3 linked regions of the Styela clava genome follow. The protein of the gene in region 2 purifies or fractionates together with the protein of the main gene of each other region. This does not show direct contact. Links are inferred from orthologs where the notes say so. Each region holds a gene or a part of one and is shown on either strand. Other genes may lie near its edges.

Region 1 (7,801 bases), on a different chromosome or scaffold from region 2:
GTGCGCAACCGCAGTAGTATATATTTACGGCGCAACGCATGCTCGTATTTTTGAGATGGTGAACAAGAGGTCACGAGTGCTAAAATCCTCTAGGGTAGGAACCACTGATATATAACAAAAAATTAGGTTACTTATTATAAGTTTCCGATTGCGCTAATTGAAATGTTCAATAATATGAGGTTCGGCAGAAGAATGCAGCAGTGAACACCCCCCCCCCCTATAGGGGGTGAACACACCCCCTAAAATTTCAGTTCTGAAGGAATACAACATTATGCGCCATTATGATCAGTTGACGCGCGTATTTCGAAATTTAATTCATCGCTTGATTCGTACAAAAGTCAAACGATCATGTTCAAAAAATGTGAAATGTGTAACAAAACAAGCCATAAGTAGCCATTCATACGATGCCATATGCTAGATGAGCAGGTAACTTCATTAGTCACTATAAGTCGTAAATTACTTGCTGAAAGCCGGGCTTGTTATTTATTCCTCGGGAATTCTATCAGCTAAATATTATAATTATTAATTTCATTACATAACAAACTGCGATGCTAGATGTATCTAAAATCAAGCTTAGAACCTATTTTGGTGCCTATTTCTCAAAATTTTCAGCCGTGAACCCCAGCCGTGTCGTCGCGCACTTTTCGCTCGCCTTTTCTGGCCCTACATTTTTATTCTGCTGTGTATTTTGGCTCGCCGTCAATCAACTTGGGAGCCCCCTCATGTACATTGTTTCTTAAATACATACCAATTTTTTGAAAGTACAAATAGTTTCATCGCAATAGCAAATTATTTTCCACCCCCTAAACTTCGAAACACCCCCCCCCCCCTAAAATGAAAAGCTGGGGAACATACTGGCTTGCAGAATAGCCCAGGTGTTCGGAAGGCTTGCAAATGTTTAGAACCACTGCATAGCACAACCCACACTCATAAAGTCACTACAAAACGAAATGACTTTTATGTATCCACTTGTGTATACTCACGAAACATAAGCTGTTAAAGTTTTACGTACTCAGCTTGATCTTTTACATCGATTTTTGTCTATTTTCTATATCCAGGGCTGTGGATTTTTTTACTATAATAAAAACATCACATTTATATAAACACAATATTACGTAAATATCATTGCACTTAAAAAACGAGCTTTTTGTAAATTTCCACCTCTTCATCATGCGGATTAACAGTTTACCATTTTTAGTTGCAATACTTTTTTCACAGTTAATAATATTTTTATCGTATATAAAATTTGACAAAATAAAAACCCTCCATGACGAAGTTAACATATGTATATATGGAATAATTGTTACATAATAAAACACAATATGTGGATTCGGGATCGGATATTTTTTGCCATTAATGGAGTTGAAACCGGAACAGAAATTTCACAACCCTCGGTGTCTCAGTTCAGATTTCCATAAACAGATACATGGCGGTCAGAATCAACATTTTCAACATAAACTGAAAAACACTAAATTGCTTTCACTACTGATCTGGACTGAGAGGCGTGGGTCAATTTTCGTGAATATTTTTTTTATATTTCATCACCAAATGCACACCGGTGCTGATCACAGAGGGATTCAGGACTCCGAGCAGCATGACTCCGTTTTTTTGACAAGCAGGAGTGCAAATCAAAATGACTATAGGCTAGTCACTTTGGTGCAGATAAATATATTTCAGTTTTTTGTGTGAATGACAGTTCATCGTGAGCGAAACTAAATCCTAAAATGTGATGTTGTAAATTTTATTGTTTTGTCTCAAGCTCAAATACACGTTACCACAACCTAATGTAGACGGTGACACTGTGTAGGTGAACGGCTGATTGATTGTCACGATTGTAGCTGTAGTAGGTACCTACCACCAGGCTACGGATTGTGTAGAACAGTGGTTCTCGAACTTTTTGAAAAATAATGCATAACGGTTCCCTTTCAATTTTTCTGATGACTCGTGGTCCACCAAAGAAATTATAACAACGCAGTATATCAAGCATTCATCTATTGAATGACATTAAGAGTGTTCAATGAGATGTGTGCGCCTGCTCAGCTCCCACTAGTTAGTCTACCTTGGGTTCTGTTTTGGATAATGCAACTCTCATATCTTGTTTTAATAGTGAGTAACATAGAAAAAGATGCCCGCACATTCGTAAGTTGTTGCAAATGGAATGAAGCAGTTTTAGTGACATCGGGATTGGACGGTCCAACTATGGTCTTTTTTTCCTCCAGAACTATCACAGCAAAACCAAATTTCACATATGAATTGTTATATCTAAATTTATTTTTTATGGCGGGCCGCGGGTCTTATTTTTAATCAGATGCGCGCGCCTTCCATAAACCACACACTCCGATTTACGGTACTTGCCACTTTCCCCAACATTTGTTACGTAACACAGTAATAATGTCTTTGTTAGAGCGTGTCATGCTTTGTAGAAACACTGTAAAAGCAAGACATCAAAACTTTACTTCAGATCAAAGTGCTTCTGTGCCGAGATTAACGCTGTCTCGCGGTCTCCCTAAAATCGCTTCACGGACCCCTAAGCGACCGCGGACCCCAGTTTGAAAACGAATGGTGTAAAAGGACTAGGGATAGCTGAATACATACTTCAGTATGGGGGCCCGCTGCTCAGTACAGTGCTCTGCACGGGAGGCGGACAGCTCAACTACAGGACTACGGTACTTTCTAGTGCAACGCTTCAAGAGGGCAGTAGGGTACCTGTATGTCGCAGTGGTGTAAATTTCGATTTTTAAAGGGCTCCAGTGGCATGGAAACACACAAATTTATGTGCACAAGTGACATACAGACAAATTTTGAAATCAATTTATAACAAAAATGTATCATCTAATTTCATATCATTTACGGTACTGTTTCTCTTATTTTTCAGGCTTGAATCGCGAAAATGACTAAACGTAGGCGCCATAAGATGGAAATAAAGGACAAAGTGTCCATGAAGGAAGCAGATAATGATAAAATTTTAAGTATTTTGGATAAATATGCTTCAGAATTTTTAGGTGAAACACAGCCTAAAGAAACACAACCCAATACCCCCATAATTCCATCCACGGTGATGACGAAAGAGGAAAATGATAATAAATTAAAAAAGGAAGTTGAAATTGTCATATTTAAAAGTAAAAAAACTAAAAATGAAGAACCGGAAATAAAAAAAGCATCACCAACTATTGTTGGTACAGACTCACAGTTCAATATTCCAAAGTCTAAATATACAAATGAAAGACTAAATTCTTCGGAAGTTTTAGAAAAATTAAAATTCAGCGTTGGCTCGTTTGGAATGAAGGCATTTTCGAAAGAAGAACAGAGAGAACATGAAAGAAAAAGAGCAATAAAACTTGGAGCAAAACCGACAAAACGGAAATATGTTAATTATAAAATTCTCATGGAAGAACAAAAAAGATTGAAACAAGATACAAGTTCTGGCAATAATATATTGTCGAACAATAGAACCGAATATAAAGAAAAGACGAGTGGCATGCCGAAATTCTGGAAACAAGGCGATAAAAGTTTGAATCCGCAAATTGGAAAATATAAGGATGGAGTTTTAAAACTTTCATCAAAAGATATTAAATCTGTAAACAGGCGCCGATAATAAATTCTGCTTATTTTGATATTTCCCATTGACTTGATGCATTACATTTTAAACCAATTCTCAGATATAGATCATGAAAGTCATTTCCAATAGAGCACAGTCTCCTGATGCCAAGATCTGTCTATATTTGGTTCAATAAAACTAACACTCTATTTGTCTCTGTAACGAGGGTGTCTGGTACGGCGGTAATTTGCGCCATGCTTGTCTCGATAATAATTTTACGTGTGTCTGCCATCATGTGACCAAAATATTTCTGTCAACATTTTTTTGCTAAAAACTCTTGAATCCTACAGTAAAATTTTTTTTTTTTGGTAAATTGTATTATTTTTGGGAATCCAATGGTCAATGGTGACATTTTCAGATTGTGTATCCTTCAGTTTATTTGCACAGTGCCAGTTTGGCGATATGGAGGCCCAGACTGTCTCATAAAGGAGCGGTTTGCATTCACTGGTATAATTGATGTCTTCTAATGTTGGGGTTATTCTTGAAATTGGAGAACTGTACCATACTGCATTTCTATTGATACTTTTGCAAGTTTGAGGAATGTGTAGTTGATCAGTGAACTAACATATAATTATACTCTTTTACAAGTGTAGTATACAAAAATGAATCAACGTGGAACGATTAATGTTATTCCAATGATTTTCATTTGTATTGGTTTCATACAAAAACACTGTATATTATCATGTTTAACTTTGGACCAAATGAGTTGAACTAGCATCTATTTGTTGTAATGTCAATAAATTCTCAGATTTTCAAGTATAAAAAAAGGAAATAAATTAATGCATGGAACGAGACGGCAAGTTTTGTGAATGGTTATTTCACAATTTTAAAGTATATCAATAATATTGAAATTGAATATTCATTCATTTTGATGGAAACTTCGCCCAACAAAATGATATCATCGATTTGAGACCTGTTGCCGAATATAACAATTTCATGCGAATGTTAAAAACTTTGTTGGGCATATTAAAAAAAAATGCATTGTAATACTGTTGAATTTGGTACGTCATTGATGTATGTATTACATTTTTGATTTACTATCCATATGTGGCCTAGCCTTAATTGAATAAACGAACTGTTACTTTAATATTTACAGGTTAATTCTTAATTATAATAAATACGATGGGATCATCTAAAAAGCATAAGAAAGACCATAAACATCGAAAGCACAAGCGTTCAAGTCCTGCATATGATGATGAAGAGAGAGATGAAAGTCATAGTCCAGAAGAAAAAAAAAGAAGACGTCATGACGATGTAGAAACAGAAAAATCATATTCTAAACAAAAAAAACATAAGAAAAAACACAAGAAACAAAGTGAACGAGATCGAGATTCTGAATCCCCCCAAAAGTTGGAATCTGAACGTAATGGTAAGTCAAGACAACATCATGCTGAACCCACTCCAACATCAGCTAATGGCGAAGGTGACTCACTCAGTATTGAAGAAACAAATAAGTTGAGGTTAAAACTGGGACTCAAACCTCTCGACGTCGGTGGATCTTCCGGTAATGCAACCGAATCAAAGAAAGAAGAATTTGTTCATGCTCCTGCTGAAGATTTGTGGGAAAAGAAAAAACAGGATGATATTAGAGAAAAACTACGAGCCATTAAAGAAAAAAGAAACTTAAACAAAAAAATGGGGAAAATCAAGACTTTGGGAGAAGAAAATGAAGATGAAAATGATGCGGTATCTTGGGTAGAAAGAAGTAGAAAAATGGAAAAACAAAAAAAGGTGGCTGAAAAACGAGAACAAGAAATGGCTAAAATGGATGCAGAATTTGGTATTGGTGGTTTAATAGACAATGAATTTGCCGATGTAAAGAAAGACTCATACACATCTCGTGATTTGCAAGGCATTACTGTAAAACACTCCTTAGAAATGTTCAAAGAAGGAAGATCAGAAATTTTGACTCTCGAAGATAAAAATATACTTGAAGAAGATAAGGATGATGTTCTTGTTGGTGTAAACTTGGTTGATACTGAAAAAGCAAAACGAAATTTGGACGTGAAGTCCAAAGGTTCTGGATACAAAGCTTATGATGAGGAAGAGGTTGATGAAATGGGATTTTTTAAACAAAAGTCTATGCTTTCGAAATATGATGAAGAAATTGAAGGAATCAAGCAAGAGAAATTTACTATCGGTAATTATGGAAAAGTTGATACGACTTGGGAACAACAAAAAATGATGATGAAAAATGAAATTAAAGCTAAAGGAGTCAGCTTAGCACTCCCTCAACTCAAAATTGCATCTGAATATTTGACTGAAGAGGAAATGACAAAGTTCAAAAAACGAAAAAAGAAAGTGCGAAAAGTAAGAAAACGTGATCTAAAACCAGACGATCTACAACCTCTACCGGGTAGTTCAACATCATCTGATTTTGGTTCTAGAAGTCGAAATCAACGAGGAAATATACCTGGATGGGATGAAGGTATTGAATCTGCAAAAGTGGATGACACAAGTATAACATCTACAACTTTAATGAATTCGAAGAAAAATGTCATTTTTGACGAGGATGATGCCAGTAATGAACTTCAAAAAGCATTGGACAAAGCAAGACGGGCAAAACAGGTTAAATCAAACATGGTTACTGAGGATGTCGGTGCCAGTAAAGTCGTCGAACATTTAGACCTTTTAAATAAAGTTTCATTTGAAAATCCAATGGCCAATTATTCTACAACTATATCTTTAAATTCAACTGATGAATTTTGTCGTCAGCTCGGAACCGCCTCAGATTTGAATGTTATTAAAGAAGTGCCTATGGAAGAGACTTCCATGGACGACAGCGTTGATATGGACGTGGAAGATGAAGAAGAAGAAGAAGTTACGTCAGGATGGAATTTTGTGAACGATAAAGCCAAAGTTAAGCCAGTTACACAGGCAGAACCTGTCGATGATAGACATGCACCTATTGAAGCCGAGCCTCTTGCTGTAGGCGGCTTAGCCGGTGCACTAAAACTAGCCACGAGAAAGGGTTACCTGATGGAAGAAAAACCAAAAAGCTCAGTCACAATAACTAGTAAAAATATTGACCTGCTTTCTGCAAACTATTCCATTGAAGACAAAAACGCAGTTGATCATTTGGATAAATACGCTCACGAAAAATACTCGAAAGACCGTAGTAATCGCTACGATCGTGGAATTGTAATGGATTTTGAAGAAAAGAAAAATTATAAACCTAAAGTAACTATCGAGTATGTTGATGAAGGAGGTCGATTAATGAATCCAAAAGAAGCTTTCAGAAAATTATCTCACAGGTTTCACGGCAAAGGATCGGGTAAAATGAAACTCGAAAAACGACAAAAAAAGAAAGGAGAAGAAGATATGATGTTGAAAATGAGTTCGACTGATACACCACTTAACACAGTAGCAATGATGAAAGAAAAATTACAAAGCGAAGCAAGTCCTTATATTGTTCTAAGTGGAGCTGGTAAAACATTGCAAGCTGGTGGTGGAGGGCTGAAGAAATGATTAGTATTATAATTGTGAGACATATGAAAAATGAAATCAATTTTCATCGATGCAAATCAATATTTTTGTGTTGTTGTCGGGACATTCTGTTGAGCCGTAAATCATTGCAGCTTCCAATACCTATTACAAAACACTTGCAGGGGTACCATAAACTTTGTCATTCTGATTATCTTATGCCTTCTTTGTAGCAGTTGATTGGCAGATCATATTATGAAAATCTTTTGATGTTATTTTGGGCCATATCATTTTAAATGCCTAAATTATTGTTAACATGCCCACAACAACTCTTGTTTTGATAACATTAGAAATGTACTCCCTGCTAGAAACTGCCCTGACTTGACTTGATTTATATGTTAAAAATGAAAATTACCATGTGATCCGCTGCTTATGTTGGGTGTTTTGCATTAGGATATTCTTTTGTCAGTGGTTGTTATCGGACATAATATGATAATATTTTAATTATTTTTAAACCTGCTATTCTGTTCTAAATTTCTCGCCTCAATCAACAAGATTGAATTTTGTATGGGTTATAAAGATTATTATTTGGTGATGGTGAATAGACACTGATAAGTTATTTTAGAAATGTTGTATAGATATTTGTTGTAAATTTTTCAAATTTCATAGGAAAGTAATACCAGAAGTACTAACTGTACAGGTATCTCAATCTAGTTTGATAGCACATAAGAAGACTCATTACCAGGGCTGGGAGTTATTATGAAAACACTTTTACCTTTG
Region 2 (6,976 bases):
CCAAACAAAACTAAGTTTATTTTATTTCGTGTATTTATTTAATTAATATACCTGTCATCATCTCTTCGTCTCCTTCCATCTCTATCTCTAGATCGAGATCTTCGCATGGGCCTGTCTCTACTACGGGAGCGATGACGTGACCTGAAAAATTAAATTTGTTTAATTTTCGCAATGTATTCTTTATATCCTTTCCTTAGATGAGCAGTACTTGGGAATTTTGATTGATTAAATTGAAGACATGGCCATTTATTGAATCAAAGTTAGTGGATCTGTTCGATGTTAGCCACCAATATGAAGGATACACACATGTCCCATAAAACTAGACAGTCATTTGCACTTATTTTGGACAATTTTTCATGTCAACTAAAAAATGAAAATAAAGTGTGAAGAAAAAAAAGAATAATCAGTTACCGGTAATATTCGTCCAAAATAATATTAGCAAGTACATAATTACTGTTTATATAAAATAATGTGACAATTCCTATTGAAAGAATTGGTCACAACATAATAAAATGTGACGTCAATCTGTCGTGAATTTAAATAGATAGGCTAGGGATTGATGACCGAGTGGTTGTTAAAGTGCTAGACCTAACTATGTTGATTCTAATACACTCATAGTGGTTCAAATTCCATTACCACCCCTTCACCCAGAGTATAATAAATTGGATAGGTGATGCCGAATTAAGATTCCAAAAATAGTAGCTCATTACATATTATACAACATCAGTATATGATTGTACAAGGCTTGTTCGGAGCAAAAAATATGAATAAGCGTCGAAAAAACAAAAATTTAAATTATTTAGATATTGAAGTACCATGACATTGTTTTTAATATCCTTAATTCGGAGCTCCCGAAGTATGTGTACCTAAATGGCGCACAACCTGACAGGTTATTAATGAATGACAGGGAACTATTTTATTGCTCTAACCTTGACCTTCTTCTTGATGACGAATGGCTAGGTCTACTTGATGACGAATGTTGATAATCTCTTTTATCCCTCGATCTACTACGCGATCTTCTGCGAGTTTCACTAAAATAAAAAGTGAGATAAATGTTTATTTTTTTTTTGTTTTGGCAAGTTCAACACACTATTTATATGTATATGAATGCATACATCTTATAAATGGGAAACTTTGAAGTAAAAATGTTCATGGAAATGGTTACAGAGAAACTGTCAGAAATAGAATCATAGCTTATTAAAATGAGGCTTATTTGGAACTGTTACCAGTAGATATTTTCCTGTTTATAAATTTCTTGTGCCTAGGATGGGTTTGAGGGGGAAGTTTACCAATTTTGGAATAATTTCTGACTTACCCCGAGCGATGTAATCTATCTCTATCTGAGTGATGAGTATGAGAACGTCTTGCATAAGAATCATCTCTTCTTTCAAGCAAACGATCATTTCTAGAGTCACGACTCTCTTCATAATGCCTGACAAAAATATGTACACTCATGCGAATTGCGAATCTTGAATACAGAAGAAATGCGAAGTAATAAAGTAACACATACCCTGATGCAAAGTTGTCATAACTGTACTAGATAAAAATCACAAGATACTATACTATACGCAGAAACTCATACTATACTAATAAGCTTAAATCAAGTAATAATTTCCAAACAAATCAATTCATACCTGGCTCTGGAATGTTCTGTTTCTCTTGCATCATTAGAACTGTGTTTGGTAGGTGAGACAACTTGTTTCTCAACCCTTTTAATCGAAGGTGGCGATTTTGATTTCTTCTCTTTTTTCTCCTTTTTCTTTTTATCTTTTTTATCTTTCTTTTTCTTCTTTTTTGTTGGTTTAGTAGAAGTTTTCTCATCATCATCATCTTGTATTGCTTCCTCTTCACCATTTGCTTCTATTTCTACCAAAAACAACAATTTTGCTTTAAAAGAGAATCCTATGTTTTTCATCATTTTGCTTGTGATTCATGAAATACTACAAGAAAATGTCAATTGCGCTGTGTATATTAACTAAAAACACAGATTATTCATTTACAACACGCCTACAAATTCATGGATCACTGAACGGATGTTTGATGGTCGAATGTATGGTAAGATGGTCATCGAAAAGACAGGTTTGAACACTGCACGACAAATGTTCAATCACAATAAAACATCTAACCAAAACAGTGTAAAAAATTTAGCAGAGTGCTCTACGGCAAGACTTCAATATTTATTGTAATATTTATAACAAACACATTATTTATCTCAGAAACGAGGATGTCTGGCATGGCGGAGAGTTGCAAGACCATGCCATGTTTCTTGCGTTAATAATATAAATCAATTGCAGCATGTGCAAAACTTCATGTGACCAAAATCCTCTCATGTGAACTGTTTTTTGCTAGAAACTATTGAATACTACGGTAGAATTTGTTTTCGTTCTGTAAATCAAATTATTTTATGGCATTTTAGAATGCTTGTCCTTTCGGTATATTGAGCAGTACTGATTTGCGATGATATGGAGCCACCAGACTGTCTCGTAAAGGAGAAGTGTGATCTACTGATAAAAAGTTGATCAAAACATTAAATTACTCTACTGCAAAATGTAATTTACCTGCTCCATCTGCTTGAACATCATCAGAAACCTCTCCTTCTTCTACATTATTCATGAGAGCAGCCTGTAATAAAGCTTTTTGCTGCTCTAAATCTGATAATGCTCCATCAAAACCAGTCGTTGTAGATGCATTCTGTTCAGTCTTTCCATTTTCTTCAATAATTTCATCAGAACTTTTTGTTTTTCTTCTCTTTTTACTCGATTGTTCATCATCGCTTGCTTCCGATGATGATTCTCGCTTACGGGAAGAATGTTTCTTTGCTTTTTTATGCTTATGTTTATGCTTTTTTGATTTTAAAGATTTTTCATCATCGCTGATTTCTATAACACCATCAACAGGGTCTTCATGGTCTAAAGCTCTCTTTTTGTGTTTTTTCTTATGTTTATGACTTTTCTTCACCTTTGGAGCTATTTCTTCTGCTAAAGAATCAGAATCACTACTTTCTTTCATTTTTGATTTCTGCGTCTTCATGTCTATTTATTGACACCAGTACCAGTATGACATTCGAAGTTAAATATGAACTCAATTCTGAAAATTAAGAGAGAGATTTTATTGGCACAAACAAAATCAACAGTGACGTAGTCTCGGAAGTTAGCAAAAAATGATCTACGCGAGATCGACATAACTTCTGACGCAGCGTGAAATATTTTTTATGGAATTTATAAATCAGAATTTTCAGTTTTTTCCCAAATCTCGTACAACATCTTGCGATCGCTGTAATAAATTACATAAATTGATATCGCCCTCTGTCGAATGAAGGTCTTTTGACGAGGATCGCTTAATAAGTAGGAGCGCCGCTCCTACAAATCCTCTCAAGTGACACACATCTCATTCTGTCCAATCGACAGATTGCTGGATTATATTATCACCCACTATACTATGTCTGTGCAATTTGCCTCAAAATTTATCTTGTTAATCTGTAGCGATTTTTTTAATGTCTTTATATAAGGCCTGCACAACATACGGCCCGCGGGCCGCATGAGGCCCGTTAGATACTTCTGTGCGGCCCACAGGTGATTTAGAAACACGCCACTTCTCGTGTCTAACAATCAAAGCCGGCATTGTTATGCAAGCGCGCCGCTACCCCGATCATATTCGAAATCGAGAGATTTATGTTTTGCAATAGTTTCAATAAATATCAGACTTTGTGTGAAACTGGTGTGCCCTGCGTGACCTCTAAAATTCCTCTCTCGTCCCCTCGCCCCCCAATTTGGGAAACCCTGATTTCGATATCTCAGTATCCAGACTGAATCACGCTCAAAACAATATCGGTATACAATCTCACACCCATTAGTGCATATTAGCAACCTATTAATAACCCATTATTTTTTACTAGCAGTTTATGAAACTGAAGTTTCTCTTTTGATTCGAATTTAGAACTTGAAAAACAATTCCTTCATTTATGAATGGTGCAGAAATTCTCGCACAAAAAATATTGCTATTTACTGTAAAATTTCAAATAAATCGGATCAGATTTTGTAGAAAAATGTAATTTAACAGTCGAAAATGTACAACAGAGGAAGATCTATTGCTACTAAATGGATTGTTTGTCTAGCCTACAATGGAAATATCTAATAATGGTATTTATGACTAAATAAATTGTCATACAGATATTTGGGACGATTTTAAAAAACTGAACCTGAATATAATTTTTATCTGCAATCAGTTTATACTGCAACACGCAATACCTAATTCTAATAAAAAAGAAATATTGAAAATGAAGGGTGAGTTTTCAAGGTAGATGAACCACTAAATACATACCGTAATTGCCATCTCATATGCAAAAATACTGCACCTTGTTTTTACTCAAGAAAATAAGATTCCTCATATTTTAAAGCTCCCCAGTAATGAAAGTGTTTCATTAAATTTAACTGTTTCACAATATCATTTTGATTTGCAGTTCATCTTGTGAAATATGTATGTGGCAAAGTTTGCGGCCCGCCGGGCCTTCAGATTTATGCTTGCGGCCCTCGTGATAATTTGAGTTGTGCAGGCCTGCTTTATATATCTGTATATATGCTGCCTTAGGTCTTTCAACATTTACACAAGATGTTTTTGTGTATTCCACAACTAGCAGACTTGAAGTGGGGCTAGTTCACTAAACGCCATCAAGATCCCGATATATGAGAGAGCTCGCTGGCGTTAGCGAGTTCGTTATCGTTGGCAGAGATGCCATTTCAGGCGATTGTAGCTTTTCCTTGGCAAGCTCTATGACAGCGTAGTGACATAATTTTTGGATGATGCAACCAGGTGTGGGTTAGGAATAACATATGCAAATATTATGTTCCTGCCACGCCAACTAGAAGTACAGTGTTTAGTGAACATGCACCCCTGAATTAATCGATTCCACACACAGACACAATTGAAATTCTGCCATTTACTCAAAAATATATATTAATGTCAAATTCGGCCAATGCCCCACTTGATAAAATGTGCAACTTGTCTGGCATTTTATTTAGCTTTTAACGCTTAACTTAAATGTAACTAATATATTTTATTTTTCTTTATATGGAAATTTAATGTTGTTTTTGGACACACCCTGACACCTGAGATATGTTAAACTATATCCTGATATCTGAAGCACTTTTTATTCATGTTTATTGAAATTTATATTGCAGTATTTAGTGGTAACTGTCTATACGATGGCCGCATGGTCGTATCGTTGCCACCCAGTCTGTACCGAGAACTATTTCAGTATTTGGCTTTCTATTAATTATGTTTTTGTTGTGTCTGTGTGTATATGTTTGCTGGTGGACAAAACAAATACAGAAATAAACTCTCTCCCTCCCTCCGAGTTTCACGAACTAATCTAATCTAATGTAAGTTTTTTTGTAATTTACAAATACTGAAATAGGGGGAACATGATAGAAACAGATTATCAGCATCAGGACTATAGAAATCAACTTGATCCAAATTCTTGAGCAGAAAGAGCGAAAAAGATTTTTTTATAGACTAAGTTAACTTAAATTAGTGATTACTGGATTAGGCAGCTGGTATAGTCAGATAGTAGTAAAGGTAGCGGCAGTTCATGGATAGAAACCTGTATTACTGTATCGTATTAATCTAAACGTTAATCAACCGACTGCTTGTCAACCCTAACCTGTCCTAATCCTATATTTTGGCATTCTTTAAGGAAAGGGATTTATTTAGGCTATTTTTGAAATTTTCCAAAGGGGGTGCATACCGGTAAGTATAACCAAAGTTACCCTAGCAGACATCTCTCAGCAGACATCTCTCTCGTTTTTGAACGCCCCGATCACTGTTGCCAGAACTCAGATTTCAATCGAGCGATGCGAGAGTTTACGAAAAAGGCATCGATGCAAAATCAGCTGATGCTTTATGCGTTGCCAGATTAATCATAAAAACTGTGAATAATTGCCAAAAAATCACAGTTCTCCCCAAAATATAAGTGTCTCACAAATATATCCGCTTAGTATAAGAAAGACAAGTATAAGTGTTTATAATGGGAAGTAAACACAACGAGTTTGACAAATATTGGATAGGTGGAAGAGATACTTACTATCGTTTAAACCTGTCCCAGTCGTCAATTTTTAATAAAATTGGTAAAAAGACCTACTTTGCCTCCAAAAAGATGTGTCTTACAATCATAACTCTCCATTTATACATAAACAACAGTAGTACATTTAATAAAGTGTTTATACAACGAGTTTCAAAAAGTTTGTATGGGGGGAAGATATTTCTATTCTCGTTTAAACATGACCCGCTTGTCAATTTATGATAGAAATGGCAAAAAGACCTCTTTGCTCCAAAAAAAGAGTGTCTTGTAATTACGGTCCCCACATTTACAAAAGACCAGTAGTAGTACATATAATAAAGTGTTAATACTGCGAGTTTGAAAAAGTTTGTATGGGGGAAGATATTTTTATTATCGCTTAAACATGGCCCGATAGTCAATTTTTGAAAAAAAATGGCAAAAGGAACTAGTTTTCCCCAAAAAATGAGTGTCTTGCAATTACGGGCCCCTCATTTACACAAGACCAGTAGTAGTACATATTATAAAGTGTTAATACAGCGAGTTTGAAAAAGTTTGTATGGGGGGAAGATATTTTTATTATCGCATAAACATGGCCCGATAGTCAATTTATGATAGAAATGGCAAAAAGACCTCTTTTGCACCAAAAAATGAGTGTCTTGCAGTTATGGGCCCCACATTTACAAAACACCAGTAGTAGTACATATAATAAAGTGTTAATACAGCGAGTTTGAAAAAGTTTGTATGGGGGGAAGATATTTTTATTATCGCATAAACATGGCCCGATAGTCAATTTATGAGAAAAATGGCCAAAATACCTCTTTTGCCCCAAAAAATGAGTGTCTTGCAGTTATGGGCCCCACATTTACAAAACACCAGTAGTAGTACATATAATAAAGTGTTAATACAGCGAGTTTGAAAAAG
Region 3 (7,950 bases), on a different chromosome or scaffold from region 2:
GATTTCTAGAAACCTGTTTTTGTTCGGCGCATCGTGCACTTGATTACTGTACTCTTCGTATGTTTGAATCACGTAGGCGATTATCACACGCGAAAGGATTGCTGGACTCGTCTTCGCAGTAAGATACAGTCGTTTCCGTATCCCAGTGGTCGGCAAAATACAGCCGCCGAAGTAAAATAATCAGTCACGGGACGCTCCACTGAATGGACCGTTCCCCGACCTTCGACCCCGGGAAATTTTTCCTATACTTTACCATTTTAAAATTTTCGGTGCGTATTTTAAGAGTGGTTTTGCGAGTTGTTGCCTGTAAAACAGGGTATTTGTTTCAAACTATCATTCTAATTCATACCATTCAACAATCTGTTTTTTAAAAGTACCAGTAAAGAATTTTAGCCTAGTCTATCAAAGATATTTCTACACCAAATTTTTGCCTACTGTAAATAAACTGAAACTTCTGGGAAGACAAAGTGATCATTGACTTAAATTATTTATATTTAAATTTCCGAAAAATAACTAAAAACTAACAAATATAATTCAGAAACGCGAAAATGAGGTACCGGTAATTTTCACGACCACGCCTGAAAATCTGTCTGAGTGAGAAATGTGTCTGAGCGGATGCAAAAGGGGGCATTGTTCCGTTTATTTTTGCATCTTGCTGAAAGGCCAATGTCACGAAGTAAATAAGGAAGTCTATGCCCGGGGAAACATCCAAACGGCGGTTTTGGCAATGAATTAATTTCATTTACAATCTACGCTCGAGGAGTAAATTACATTTTCTTGTGTAACAGAATTTATCGTGAGGCACGATTAGACAAAATTTTATTATATTCTTAAAATTATATTAAACAGCTTCTCGTTTAACGAGCCTTCAATTCAATTATAATTAGACAATTGGAAACATGCAGAAAAGTTGATGCTGAGTGCAGGGGTTCAATAGCGCAGTAAATATTAGAATATATTGCAATGCAATAATGAAATAAAATTCATATTCTATTCGAGGGATTCATCACTGCCTAATTTTTGTAAGAGTGTATCTTAAAGAAAATCTTTATCAAAATTTGACAAACCATTACAAAAGGGGTTTTCATCTGTGCTACTATTGCTATCAAAACAACGAAATCGCCTTTCCTTCAGTAAACAGGTAATTTTAGATATTATAAAAAACTCGCTGAAGAACACCAAGCTCATCCATCTCATTAAAAAATACTATAAACTATGATTTGTCTCGTTATTCGGTCTGTAATATATTCGTTTCAGACTTTACATTTTTTTTCGCAGTGCCGGGGGGCGATGAACTTGTATAAACTACTGTAGGGGGGCGATGGTACAAAAAGTTTGGGAACCACTGGTCTAATGCAAACTTTACTCCTGGATTTCATCAGCAAGTTGTACAAAATGAAGTATAACCTTAATTTGAATGCCCGTCCAAATAATGTAAATGTGTCCCCGATCAGTCAAGCAAATTTCTTTTCATAATTTTTATGGGATTGAAAAATAAGTTGTTAGATAAAAGTATATTGTAGATTTTGTAGTCATTCGGACGACAGACTTTGTCGTAGTTTTGGAATTTTTGCCTTTGCCCTTTTGTGCCAAATCTGACCGTGATTCAAGAAGTTCACCAGACCTCCACATCAACAACAGGAATATTGTCCTCAAATATTATGCTAGGAAAATTTAAAAACCGAATAACATTTCCTCAATTAACAACCCTCTCCTCATTTCAAGTTTCATTCGAGTGCAGTTAGGAATGAGCAGTTTGCTACAAAAAGGGTACTACGCCAAGCAGATAACAAAAACTTGGGAGTACAGTTGACGAGTAGACTACTATTCTAGACATACGAGGACATCCACCAATACCTGCTGAACACAGCTAGTTTCTTTCTTGGAGGCTCTGAATCCTGTATCTTTGAAGTTTGAACATCTCTTTCTCGTCTGCAAGTACAGATTAATTTATACATTGACATACATTTCTCAATTAAAATAATTTCACTTCAAAAGAAGAACCATCACTCATCGTGTAATTGAACTTATTTTAGGCTCTAACTTGGTGATTTGACAAGTGAGATCATAATTCACCATCCTGGCATATTGACATCTTGTTACTTTCCATGATGATTAATGTCATGTCCTATATACAGTTGCCTTCTTTCAAAGATGATTGCTCTAAAATTGAATGCTTTGAAAATAACGAGGATAAAACACTCACCGTCCTAAAATGTTTCCAGTCTCTCTGTTGCGAGATGCACCACCAGATAGTCTTCGATTTTCAATATTTGGTCTGAAATCATCATGCAACAACATTGATATTATATGGCCTATTCAACTTTAGTATCATTTAACAACTTTCTAACTAAAGAGCCGATGAAGCTTGAACTGATGACATATAGTGATTTGTCATGGTGCTGTGTATTCCGTACTTTATTATAAAACACCAAATGACTGATGATGAAGTAAAAACTTGTTCATGTGGGTGATGATTTTAAAATAATGTAATTTTGCTTTTATTCAGTTTGCTCATGTTTGCACGTGACAGAGTGAAAAAAAACACACTCACAATGCAAATGGCAGAATGGATAGACAATACAGCGATAGTACAGCGGTAGAATAGGAATATATTTTTTCGACCCTAAACCTAGCAAGTGCAAATCAATTGGTTTACTGAGTTTTATACTCCTGGTCCCAAGGCAGCAAATTTAATTTAATTTTATCCTACCATTCTACCTAATGGAAATTTGAATAAACACTACAGCACTAGGCTTATTTTCATTATTTGCCCACCCACCCAAGAAAACAACAACGTACCAATACTGACACATACCGGTAACAAATAATCCAGAATAATAATGATACAGTGATAACCACAAGAATGAGATTCGAAACACTAATTTTACCTTGGTTCATTTGGGTCCCTTCCTGTTATTTTTTTGATGTTTTCATCTACGCTTTTCAGGTTTTCTTTTGCTTTTTCAATCTGCTCTTTCAAACTATTCAGTGCCAGAGACATTATGCTACTATGCGAGGTGATGAGAATCCTGTATTTCCTAGTCAGTTGCCACTAAAAAGCTGAAACTGTTAAATACATAAAGTACAGAAGTGGAAGAAAGGTGGATAGGATAGGATAGGATTTACATATTTATCCCGGGGGAGAGGAAAGCCGATAAGACGGCTTATCCATATGGCGAACCACGGCCTCTCGTCCGGTTACCATTCCAAGTCGGGTATGGGATTAGTTTTTACTGTATTGTTTGTTTTTCGGAAGCATGGACTTGGTGGTGGAGGAAGCCGTAACCGACCAGCGGTTACGTGAACCACCCAACGACGGCGAGGAGTCCAGCAATCCTCTCGCACATAACCATCCCTGCATGGGATTCGAACCTGCGAACCCACGCAGAGTAATTAGAGGTGCGGTGGCGAGCGTATTCCTAACGCTTAGCCCGTTGAGCCACACCGCCGCGGATAACGTTACATTTTTCAGTTTGCTGTTCCCTGGAAATAGCATCAATTCCAACTAGGCCTGTACCGATATGTAGAATGTAGACTATAATCATATTTTATTAAAAATAACGCTACGGTCTCCTGTGATTTTGCTCATAATATCATTTTAGTTATACTAAATTACGGTACTGAAATAGGCATGTCAGCATGTTGGTACAATAACTGCATAACCTAGGGTCCGCATAATACAGTAATAAAGTGACATGCTTTTGGATGGCGTACCGGTACGGTAGTCAGGTTGGGGTTAGGATTATTATCTGCAAAAAATCGTTACCGGTACCGGTACCAATGCTCTGCCCACCGAAAGTACTTGCTGATTTGAGTTACGACACTACACGCTGACACGAGACCCCGTTTCCGTAGATGGATTCCGAAATTAAAATACCGGTGACGGCTCGCTGCCGCGTCAACACTTTCCGGGAACAACTACCGTACCGGTAAAAAATAAACCAACGACTTACCGGTACCGGTTTGAAGAGAAAAGATGCTTATACTAAAAAGAGGTTTATACGAGTTAACGACAAGTAAATGGATGATAGATGCAGTATGTAAGGTATGTATTGTGCTGATATACGAGGCAGAAAAGGTGCGGGTATCACAAACAGTTAAGTATAGAAGTGCATGCGGTTGAGCACTTTATCAATTCTGCAATAAGACAGATATCGTAGGTATCATCAATGAGATCATGGCATCGTTGACGCTCGACGATGCCGAAGAGGCAAGTGCAGTTTTAAGTATTTCGCGGCATCTGAAGCTGCCGCAAAACCATGGCGGAATCTCCAAACCATGGCCACAATGACCAAACCACGGCGGCTAACTTTCAAGCTGCCACAAACAATGGCGTGAGGCGGGGTACCACGGCAGCAAATTGAAAACCACGGCAGGTGAAATTATACTGCCATGAACCGTAGTTACGCTGCCGTAACCACGGCAAGAGCTGCCGTAACCACGGCAGGAGCTGCCGCGGTTACGGCAGGTAGGAATAACCTGTGGTAGCGAAAGATTTCTCGCCATGAACAGTGGAAGATAGTGGGGAACCTTGTGGTTAATTGCACATTACCACGGCGGGATAACGGGGAGCGCGGCGACAAGTTGGTTGCTGCCATCAACTGAAGAAGCGAGATTAGCATTCAGTGTTGTTTGTTGTTTTGTAATAAGAGTAATAGGGAATTGTTTTGGCGTTACAAATGAAGTCATCCTTGGGTGTATATTGCTTTGAAGTACGGTACCGGTAGGGTGCAGTTGGAAGCAGAGTTGGATCATTTGTAACTGATGGTATTATTTACAGTTTTTTATGTAATTGTAATGTAATGACTGAATGGAGGCATTTTCATTCTGTGTAATCGTAACTGTAATTTGCTAAAATTCTGGCTCAATTACACTTTCAATTAGACTAAATCTTAGTATTTTGAAAATGGATGAACATCAAACAAACTCTTCCGAAACATGTGTTGAACCACTTCTTGCACCATTGTCAAAGTTTTTTAAATCTTTGAGCAGCACTGAGGCAGGCTGTAACAACTTCAAAGAAGGCTTCATCAAACGCACTTGAAGAGATGTTCTCCCATCTATATCTATAAATAGAGGAAAGGACCAAGAAAATCAGAAAGTGATGTAAATAGCTATTTGGGGGAAGAAATTTTGCAATTTGATGAAGACCAATTAATGTATTGGAAGAAGAAATCAGAAAAATTTCCCACGCTGAATTACAGCAACATCAGCCCCGTCAGAAAGAGTTTTTTCAATTGCGGATAACTTTTATACAGCATGAAGAAATTTATTGGGTTCAGAAACTTTTCGCAGCCTAATCTTCATCAAGTGCAATCCAACAGTTCTTGAGCAAGGGAAAATGTAAATACGAACCAAAATGTTATAATTGTAAATGCAGTTTGATATTTTTTGCACGGAGTAATTGTAATGTAATTGAAACATTTAAGGGAGTAGTTGTATTTGTTATTGAACTGAATTAGTGTAATTGATCCAACTCTGGTCAGGAAGTAATGGCTGGTTGGAAGTAAGGTGCAATTACTTCCTCTGGCAATAAATAATGTTGTATATCATTTGCGCTGTGTCTTTTTTAGTCATATTGATTCAAATTAGATCGCAGTACTACCAGAGTAAAATTGTGTCGGTTGGGTTTGATTAAAGTTGCATTTACTCTGCTAGGCGATTCATCTACAGTAGGGGTTCTCAACCTTCTACGAACCGGTACCACTTGAATTTTTCCTTTACCCCGAAAAAGCCACTCTTTGTAAGAAAACGGGAATGGAAGTATTTTATAATGTGGCACTACATCCATTTTTTCAGGGACAAATTATAACCAGTTGCATTAATTATATGCAGTAACAACATATTATTTTATCTTAGTTTCTGATTTCCCAATACAGACAGATAACTTTTAACTTAAAATGAAAACATGCCAGTCTCTCTCGTTTTAGGGGTGTAGTGGCGGGTGAGGGCAATCCGTGAAAACAATAAATGGATTGCATGCGATAAAAAAGAGAGAGGGTAATGCTCTCATAAATTACCCAACATAAGGGTTTGTTGTTGCAATAATTTAAAGCTGATTGCGTACCACAGTTGGCCCCTACAGCTTCTTGCACACTCACTATCTCCATCGTTGACACTGGAATCCTTTTATGACAAAGCCACTTAGATATGTCAACTATTTGTTAAGACAATTCTCGAATATTTCTATAATATTTACAGGCAGATGAGGAACCTCAACTAGCGAACTTCAAATTCCAAAAAAGAAGTATGACATTGTGCATGTTAATAAATTTTATTAAAGAAAATTACACAAAAACTAAGTTTTATGTGCAGTGTTCACAGAAAAACTCTTCGTTACCCGCAAAATCTGCGCAATATTGGTGGCACCACCTTTCGCATCCATCACATTCGACCTACAACAAAATTATTACTTTACTTTATCCATCAAAACTGCATCCATAAGGAAAATGTTTGACCTTACCCAAAGTGTGCCACCATCAGGGGCAGTCCTGCCATTACAGCCCACACAAAAGTGTGCCAGCTCATCAACATCTAAAAGATGAAGGAAAACAAATGTAGGATTGCAAATACCTAACTAATATAGTCATGTTCATGTATATTCCTCCTCAGATTCTAACCAACCGCAAAAATGAGTAAAATTTCTTTGCATACACGATCAATATTGACCTCAATCCGATACTTAATTAACTTCCTTTTCCATTCCATTTTTCAATATCATCAAATTAAAGCTCTGGGCTCTGGTTTTATAACCCACTCAGCCATGTTCAAAAGAAAGTTCTAAATATCATCAAAATATAGCTGTGTGCTACCAACATATCCGTGACCGCATAGATGTTATGGTGCTAGTTGTTACTCGACTTCCAGCACTGCTCTCCACACTTGAATAAAAATGACTTATGCTTAGACCTAGTTAATAAAATAATAATGCACCTGTGGCTTCCAACAGAAGGTCTCCAAAATGGATTCTGTAGACTTTACAGATGCCTGTCGAATGATTGAAATCCGTTGTACAACCTGTTAAGATTGCTTCGGCAGCCTAGAATGTAAAAAAATAAAACAACTCATATTTCTATAGATTTGCACCAATGAGATGATTTAAAAATAAGGTTCCAGTTGAATGGTGGTGGTATCAATATAAAGTACTACTAGTAGTAAATGTTTACTCACAAATATAAATGAAAATTTAAAGATCTACCGTAATGAGCCTGTGTGCATCCTTATCAGTTTAATAATACCACTATAAAAACAAATTGGACCCGATGTACCTTCACAACCAAAATTCCACAATTAAACCCATCTTCTTGTTCACTATGCTTGTTTGTTAACAGTCTCCAATCTCTTTTGTCACCTCCATGGTATTTCCAAAATTTCCTGGGAGAAAACGTAAAAAAAAGAACAGCCCTGATTAGTCCCACAACACATAGGAACAATTTCATTTCTAGATCCTTAACTTTTTTTTTGAAGTGTTCTAAGAACTGCATATTCTTGCTAATATGAGCTTTCATACCTAGCTTGCAATCTCAGTGCAAAAAACTCGTACGATCCATACAGTTTCGGTAATCTGTTTTTGATGTTTTAAAATTCAGATAACACTAGTAGAGATTTGAATGCATGACTAAAACATTGATGTTCTATCGTTGAACTCAATAAGGGCATGATAATTTAAAATGAATCTGTGAGTGTTTACAAGCCAATAATCATTTAGTCAAGCAGAAAACCACAAACCTCCAATTCTCCATCAGCGTTTCAGCATAACTCTCTTCATGGCCAACAGGGTCATAAATAGTGACACTCCCTTGAGATGGATCTGTAATCTGAAAACATGAAACTTTGTTCACAAGAGTAGAAGAATTTCTGGTTTGAAGAGCAATACAATACAGAATATGCCATATTTGTTTTGACGTGATATATTGAAACATTTTGTAATTGCATTTGAGAAGAAAA

Evidence for each region. The genes of interacting proteins can lie anywhere in the genome.
Region 1: the proteins of serine/threonine-protein kinase PRP4 homolog (region 2) and U4/U6.U5 tri-snRNP-associated protein 1-like purify together in Homo sapiens (affinity purification with mass spectrometry; 3 studies listed by BioGRID and IntAct, with this or other methods). This does not show direct contact. The link is inferred for Styela clava from reciprocal best matches to the Homo sapiens genes PRP4K and SART1.
Region 3: the proteins of serine/threonine-protein kinase PRP4 homolog (region 2) and uncharacterized protein LOC120326115 purify together in Homo sapiens (affinity purification with mass spectrometry; 5 studies listed by BioGRID and IntAct, counting the BioPlex papers as one, with this or other methods). This does not show direct contact. The link is inferred for Styela clava from reciprocal best matches to the Homo sapiens genes PRP4K and PNN.

Annotation. Positions count from the first base shown.
Region 1 is NC_135255.1:12,625,897-12,633,697, reverse strand, and holds the start of U4/U6.U5 tri-snRNP-associated protein 1-like, read left to right. Parts: upstream 1-4,710; 5' UTR 4,711-4,720; coding exon 4,721-7,066; 3' UTR 7,067-7,801. Other genes in the region: 40S small subunit processome assembly factor 1-like, read left to right, coding at 2,891-3,595. UniProt on the Homo sapiens protein: Plays a role in mRNA splicing as a component of the U4/U6-U5 tri-snRNP, one of the building blocks of the spliceosome. May also bind to DNA.
Region 2 is NC_135256.1:9,398,421-9,405,396, forward strand, and holds the start of serine/threonine-protein kinase PRP4 homolog, read right to left. Parts: upstream 3,087-6,976; 5' UTR 3,031-3,086; coding exon 2,559-3,030; intron 1,867-2,558; coding exon 1,635-1,866; intron 1,433-1,634; coding exon 1,316-1,432; intron 1,032-1,315; coding exon 930-1,031; intron 142-929; coding exon 52-141; intron 1-51. UniProt on the Homo sapiens protein: Serine/threonine kinase involved in spliceosomal assembly as well as mitosis and signaling regulation. Connects chromatin mediated regulation of transcription and pre-mRNA splicing.
Region 3 is NC_135253.1:385,676-393,625, reverse strand, and holds the start of uncharacterized protein LOC120326115, read right to left. Parts: upstream 3,092-7,950; 5' UTR 3,005-3,091; coding exon 2,892-3,004; intron 2,279-2,891; coding exon 2,207-2,278; intron 1,933-2,206; coding exon 1,858-1,932; intron 1-1,857. UniProt on the Homo sapiens protein: Transcriptional activator binding to the E-box 1 core sequence of the E-cadherin promoter gene; the core-binding sequence is 5'CAGGTG-3'. Capable of reversing CTBP1-mediated transcription repression.